Saccharomyces cerevisiae S288C: one gene and its partner. The protein of the gene in region 2 purifies or fractionates together with the protein of the main gene of each other region. This does not show direct contact. Each region holds a gene or a part of one and is shown on either strand. Other genes may lie near its edges.

Region 1 (3,838 bases), on a different chromosome or scaffold from region 2:
ACTTCAGTTTTCTTCCCATCTAATTAATTTTTCTTCGAAACACATTCTGTAAATAAGGGATTATGTTATGAAAAGAATACGTACTAGATGGCTAGAAGAATAGGACGGAGTAGCACTTATCGTTTCTGATAAGAGGATCAATCCTTTGAAATCTTGAAACGCGAATAAATTTAGGACACTAATTGAATCTGCCCGCGTCATTTTTTATAAAAAATAGATTAAACCACCAAACGAAGGCCAGAAGCTGAACATAGTTCACTGGCATCTGCATTTATGTACCCATGTATAACCTTCCAAGTTAGTTCTTGGGAAACGAAAATTATATTGAATTTTTTATTGAATTTTTAGCGTATCCTTTCGCCATCCTGATAATCATGATAACCTTGAGGGAAGATTATCTTGCGATGGGAGGGATCAAATTTAGCAAATTTTGACTCTATGTCAATCTCGTTTCCAAAAATGCAACACCTCATCGTTATGACGACAATTGGAGACAAAAAGGTTAACAATAACATAATACTCTTTTTATAGAATACCTTATAAAATGTATGTTATTTAAGTAACTTATAAATCTTTATTTGAGTTGAAAAGAAAAACCATGTCTTTATATAAAATTTAAAAAATATAATTCAAAAAAATAATATCTTCATTCAATCATGATTCTTTTTTTAAACGGTAGAGACTTGCAAAGTGTTGGAGTGACCAGCACCGGCCTTGAAACCTTGGATGGAAACGTAAGTGTCACCCTTCTTCAAGATACCGAATTCCTTAGCCTTTTCAATACCGAAGTTGATACGGGCTTCAACATCATCAGTCCAGTCAGAGACAGGTTCCTTTTCGAAAACGAATGGGAAGACACCTCTGTACAAGTGAGAGAATCTAGCAGCTCTTGGGCATCTGGTAACCAAGATGATTGGACAGTTTGGTCTGTACTTGGAAACCAATCTTGGGGTGGTACCGGAAGTGGACAAGACAATGATAGCCTTGGCCTTTTGTTCGAAAACAGCAGCGACAGCGGAGGCAGCGACGGTTTCGGTGGTGGAGGTTGGCTTTGGAGTACAGTTTCTCATGTCATCGTAGTTTGGCAAGTAAGCGATAGCTTGTTCAGCAATGACAGCGGTTTCAGCCATAGTGGTAACGGCGTTGATTGGGTAGTTACCCTTGGCGGTTTCACCAGACAACATAACACAGTCAGCACCATCCAAGATAGCGTTACCGACATCGGAAACTTCAGCTCTGGTTGGTCTTGGGTTGTAAGTCATGGATTCCAACATTTGGGTAGCACAGATAACTGGCTTACCAGCCAAGTTAGACTTAGCAATCAATTTCTTTTGGACAGCCAAGACTTCTGGGGCTGGGATTTCAATACCCAAGTCACCTCTGGCAACCATAACACCGTCAGTGACCTTCAAGATTTCGTCGAAGTTGTTAACACCTTGTTGGTTTTCAATCTTGACAATGATCTTGACGTCCTTACCTTGTTCACCCAAGACTTCTCTGATGGTCAAAACATCGTTGGCGGTTCTGATGAAAGAAGCGAAGACCATGTGGACACCGTTCTTGACACCGAATCTCAAATCTTCCTTGTCCTTTTCAGACAAAGCTGGCAAATCGACATCGGTACCTGGTAAGTTGACACCCTTGTGGGAACAGATCTTACCGGCGTTCAAAGCCTTGACCTTCAAAGTCTTGTCGTCAACGACTTCCAAAACTTGGAAAGACAAAACACCATCATCAACGTAGATGATTCTACCAGCGGAGATGACCTTGGTGATGTTCTTGTAGTCAACGTACATGATCTTGTCGTCACAAGCCTTAGCGTACTTGTCATCGGTGGTGAAGATCATTTCGTGGTTTGGTGGGATTGGGTAGTCAACATCGTTGGTGGTGGTACCAGTTCTGATTTCTGGACCCTTGGTGTCCAAAGCAATGGCCAATGGTCTACCTGGGTACAATTCTTCGGACTTTCTGGCGTTGTCAATGACAGACTTGTGGTATTCGTAAGAACCGTGAGAGAAGTTCATACGGACAATGTTCAAACCAGCCTTTCTCAAAGCAACCAAGGTTTCTGGGTTGTTGGTCTTTGGACCGATGGTACCAATGATGGAGGTTCTTCTCAAGTCAGAACCAGCAACAACGTTTAATGAGGTCAATCTTTCTAATCTAGACATTGTGATGATGTTTTATTTGTTTTGATTGGTGTCTTGTAAATAGAAACAAGAGAGAATAATAAACAAGTTAAGAATAAAAAACCAAAGGATGAAAAAGAATGAATATGAAAAAGAGTAGAGAATAACTTTGAAAGGGGACCATGATATAACTGGAAAAAAGAGGTTCTTGGAAATGAAAAGTTACCAAAGAGTATTTATAATTCAGAAAAAAAAGCCAACGAATATCGTTTTGATGGCGAGCCTTTTTTTTTTTTTAGGAAGACACTAAAGGTACCTAGCATCATATGGGAAGGAAAGGAAATCACTTGGAAGACATCACAAGCATTCATTTACCAAGAGAAAAAATATGCATTTTAGCTAAGATCCATTGAACAAAGCACTCACTCAACTCAACTGAATGAACGAAAGAAGAAAGAACAGTAGAAAACACTTTGTGACGGTGCGGAACACATTTACGTAGCTATCATGCTGAATTCTACTATGAAAATCTCCCAATCTGTCGATGGCAAAACGACCCACGTGGCAGAGTTGGGTCAAGTGCCAGTTTCTGGATTAAGTAACAGATACAGACATCACACGCCATAGAGGAATCCCGCCGTTGCGAGAGATGGAAAACAATAGAGCCGAAATTGTGGAAGCCCGATGTCTGGGTGTACATTTTTTTTTTTTCTTTCTTTCTCTTTCAATAATCTTTCCTTTTTCCATTTAGCTTGCCGGAAAAACTTTCGGGTAGCGAAAATCTTTCTGCCGGAAAAATTAGCTATTTTTTTCTTCCTTATTATTTTTTTAGTTCTGAAGTTTGACCAGGGCGCTACCCTGACCGTATCACAACCGACGATCCGGGGTCATGGCGGCTATTTTTTTTTTTTTTTTTTTTTTCCTTGTGATTGTTTATTTACATTTGGATCAATTCTAACAAAAAAAAAATAAGGGGGGAAAAATAATTCACCTCTTTTTAATATTGTTTTGTACTGAGATTAATCTCCAAAATACTAGCATTGACACACATCTCAAGTCATCTCAAATAAAGTCGGAAAACCCCCCCTTTCCAAATAATTGAGGTGACGTTGCCATGAACAGGGAAGCAGAATTTGATTCGAAGACTAAGACCAAGCATACCCATTCTCATTTGGTCCTTTCTTTATTTTTACTTCAACTCCCTTAACGTTCGGAGAAAAACTCTGGTTATTCTTCATGCGATATAATTGGCGAAAAAAATCTTGTCTCATACGTAAAAAGTATTAAAAAAATTGCCCATTTTGTGCCCGCAGACAACTGCAACCTATCTTCAAAAGCCGAAAAGGAGGTTTTCTTCTTATTCGCTGGACAGACCCTCTTTTTTGCTGTTGCTTTATTTTTTATGTTTAGAAACAAAATTTCCCCGAGAGAAAGGGAAAATATGTGGAAAAAGAAAAAGCACTTCCTTACCAAACGTCATTCCATCCATGAAATACTTGGCCGATTGAACTTTTCATTTGGTCCAAATATGGAAGTGATAAACGATCTTACTCCAACGTAGATAAAACATTGATAGTAGCCCTAACTGATATTATGGCAAGTCGGCCACACCGCTCATTAGGACAATTCCTTTTTTTCCTTTTTTTTTCTTCTCACTTTTCGGCTATCGGAGCCTTTGATTTAATCGCCGGTGCCTACGTCTTTGGTGT
Region 2 (3,996 bases):
CGATATCAAATCATGCTGCCAGAACAACTGAAAAGTGGGAAATTTTGCTCCCATTGCGGGTGTGTTTACGTTCCTAATTTTAACGCAAGTCTTCAGTTAACGACTAATACCGAGCAAGGTGACTCCGACGAACTTGGCGGCGAGAGTATGGAAGGACCAAAAAAATGTATCCAGGTTAATTGCTTGAATTGTGAAAAGTCTAAATTGTTTGAGTGGAAATCTGAGTTCGTTGTTCCAACATTTGGACAAGATGTTAGTCCGATGATCAATAGTACCAGCAGCGGGAAGGTTTCGTACGCGGTAAAGAAGCCCCAAAAGAGTAAAACTAGTACTGGTAAGGAGAGATCCAAGAAGAGAAAGTTGAACTCACTTACAAACCTTTTATCGAAAAGAAATCAAGAGAAAAAAATGGAAAAGAAGAAAAGTTCGTCACTGTCATTAGAAAGTTTTATGAAAAGTTGACTGTATCATCAGTGAACATATAGTATAACAAATCAAGTTTATATAGTTGAATTGAGAGTGTCTGTTAGCTCTTCGATTGACGGATAAGATGCATCCGCGTCGATATTGTTGAGATTAGGAATAGTACCGTTTATACTTTCCTCATCAGCGCGGTCATCATCACTACTGTGAGTTAGACCGCCACTCATTGAACCCTTCGTCACGCCATGTACGCCTTGCCTATATGTTTCTTCCCTCAATGGATTAACTACTTCCTCCTCACCAAGGTTTGAAGAAATACCAGAATCCAGTTTTTTCCGCACGCAACTGTTGGTCCACATTCGCCTTCTATATGAGCCCCTTTGTCCATCAAGATTGAGGTCATAGACCCATTTTGTTTCTGAATCTATCTCGACATACTGAATAAATTCGTCCTCTACCCATTCTTTTGGATCCAAATCAAGCACCCAATGAGAATTGGCTTCCCATTCCCAATCCTTAGGTGGCTCAATTTCTTCTAATGACTTCACTGAATTTTCCTCAATACGCCTCTGGTATATTCTCAAACTAGAGAAAAGAGAATAATCGTCATCAGAGAATCCAACTGGGCGCCATTCTTTGTATTCAGGAAGATACTTTTGGATCTCAAAGATCATAACAAGTCGGTGCTCCCTAGCCTCAATGAGTTTCAAATGCTGCAAAATCTTAGATTCCAGATTAGTACTTATAGTCAAAGTTTTTAATCTTGTCTCCTCCGAATTCAATTTAGTCAACAAATATTCACGATTGGACGGATGCGAGGCAATAAAAAAACCCCAACCTAGCAGTATCAGTACGGGTCTCATTGGAATGAGCTTGATAAATTTATCCATGTACAGAAAATTTAATGTTGCTATTATTAACAATACAATAAAATAAAACGACGAAATAGCCTCGTTGGTGAAGAATGCAAACTTTTGTAATATGAGTAAAGTAAAATCGTAGAATTTAACATATAGCAGCATATGGTTTTGTAAATCCGTGAGGTTTAAGACAAATTCTTGGCTCAGTTCAGGGACTGGTTTAGGAACCTCAGGTCTTCGCAAAGGTGGGCCTTGTGCTGGTGTTTGATTATTATCTAGATAGCTTGTAGGGTTTGGCTTATGAATGTAAAGGTATTGCGGGACCATTACGCAGAATAACAAATAGAATATAGGGAGCGAAGAAAGCATTTGAAAAGGTTTCAATATAATGAGCGTGTATAAGAACATGATAGATACTGTATACGCTGGGTTAGTCCAGTTTAATATCTTTATTAATTCATCCATAATCATGAATGGTACCCCTAGTCTCGAGTTCATCTGTATAAAATTCCTACTCGTGATCTGCACAGACAGCTTAGGCCTTTCTTTACCAGCAACCATACGATGGTGAATTGTATCAACAGCCGTTTTGGAAGATGGTGGTAATGCCATTTTGATTATCTTCTCTACCAGGGTATCTGCCATCATCTTTTGGATGTTTGATGTCGAGGGAAAACCGCCACCACTAGTTGGCTGTCCACTGGAAGATGGCAGACTACCACGTGTAGGATCACTAGTTCTAGAACCACTAGATATGCTCTCTTTCTTTGCCTGACTTTTTCCATCTATGCCATTTTGCACTTTCTTCCCCTTGAGAGTTGATCTAGTTGGAGTACCAGCATTATAGGTGTCATTCCAGAAAAAATTTGTCACCGAGTCCATCTAGACGTATATACAGTAGGAGACTGAAATTTTGCTACGTATACAGGTGAGTATATTCATGCGGCCTGATCAGTAATTAAAAATACACACTATTCCTCGTTGTTATTTCTTAAAATTAGTTCAAGAAGAAGGGGTAACCCCTAAGCTTCTTAAGTTCACCACAAAAGTATTACTGGATAGTGAAACAACAACCACCCATAACATTAGTTTCCTAAACACTACGGCGGTATTCACCTAGACGCCATCCTAGAAGGCTACAAAGTGATGCACGTATGATGATATCGGACATTAGAGCGTATACATACAACAGGTACACATAAAATTGTGATATGTCACAGCTTCATCACCCGGCGGACACGTCTATTAAATTATCAATAATTACATAATGTGCAGATCAAATAAACAATAAACATACAGCCATTTAAATTTTGGTTATTAATGTTATTTTTCATTTCTATTGCTTGCAGTGGTATTTATGTGGTATAGTTAAGCCTGCAGGAATATTTAAGCAAAGAGGGAAAATTATGAATAAAGAAGAGCAAGAAGACCCACAGCAAGAGCAAATATCAACTGTTCAGGAAAATGATCCCAGGAATTTGCAGCAACTGGGAATGCTGTTAGTATCTCCAGGGCTTGATGAAGACAGATTGAGTGAGAAAATGATTTCGAAGATCAAAAAATCCAGGGATATCGAAAAAAATCAAAAATTGCTCATATCTAGGCTGTCGCAAAAAGAGGAAGATCATAGTGGTAAGCCTCCTACCATTACGACTTCTCCAGCAGAGAAAACCGTACCCTTTAAGTCGCTGAATCATTCTTTAAAGAGGAAAAGGGTACCTCCAGCGCTAAATTTTTCCGATATACAAGCATCTTCTCATTTGCATGGATCTAAAAGTGCTCCACCAAACATAACAAGATTTCCGCAGCACAAAAATAGCCTTAGGGTCAGATATATGGGTAGGATGGCTCCTACGAATCAAGATTATCATCCTTCAGTGGCCAATTCATATATGACAGCAACCTACCCTTATCCATATACTGGACTGCCACCAGTACCATGCTACCCATATTCTTCAACTCCAACACAAACGCACGCATACGAAGGCTATTATTCCCCGATGTATCCCGGCCCCTTGTATAATAATGGTATAATACCAGCCGACTACCATGCAAAGAGGAAGAAGTTGGCTGGTAGATCACCACACTTGGAAGATTTGACATCGAGAAAAAGAACCTTTGTCTCCAAACACCACAACGGAGACCCAATCATAAGTAAGACTGATGAAGACATTGAATGCTCTGTCACGAAAAATTCATTAAGTGAGGGCGCTTCACTTAACGACGATGCCGATGATGACAACGACAAAGAAAGGATCATTATTGGAGAAATCTCTCTGTATGATGATGTTTTCAAATTTGAAGTTCGCGACGACAAAAATGACTATATGAAAGCATGTGAAACAATCTGGACTGAATGGCATAACTTGAAGAAATGACGAGATTTCACTTCTTCACGCTATAGAATGCACCTAAAACTCGCCTGCACTCCGAAACGAAATGCGATACAGTACGTGTCATGCGGTTAGTATATATACATATATATATATATATATATATTCAAATAAATTATAACGTATTAAATAATATGTGAAAAAAGAGGGAGAGTTAGATAGGATCAGTTGGTCAACTCATGGTAGTATTCGTCATAATGTTGTACTTCACTAGCTATTTCTGTAGCATCAAAATCTGATGTGTGTTTGGTGTCCCTAATCAAATCAGTGACTTCGTTCAGGTTCAATTCTAAAAAGTTTTCTAAGAACTGGCCAACTTC

The links.
Region 1: the proteins of PEX29 (region 2) and CDC19 purify together in Saccharomyces cerevisiae (affinity purification with mass spectrometry, with the first as the bait; 2 studies listed by BioGRID). This does not show direct contact.

Annotation. Positions count from the first base shown.
Region 1 is NC_001133.9:70,119-73,956, reverse strand, and holds CDC19 (pyruvate kinase CDC19), read right to left. Parts: upstream 2,172-3,838; coding exon 669-2,171; downstream 1-668. Other genes in the region: YAL037C-A (uncharacterized protein), read left to right, coding at 439-531.
Region 2 is NC_001136.10:1,414,710-1,418,705, forward strand, and holds PEX29 (Pex29p), read right to left. Parts: upstream 2,166-3,996; coding exon 501-2,165; downstream 1-500. Other genes in the region: SNM1 (Snm1p), read left to right, coding at 1-462; DIG2 (Dig2p), read left to right, coding at 2,690-3,661; alkaline phosphatase PHO8, read right to left, coding at 3,841-3,996. UniProt on the Saccharomyces cerevisiae protein: Involved in the regulation of peroxisome number, size and distribution.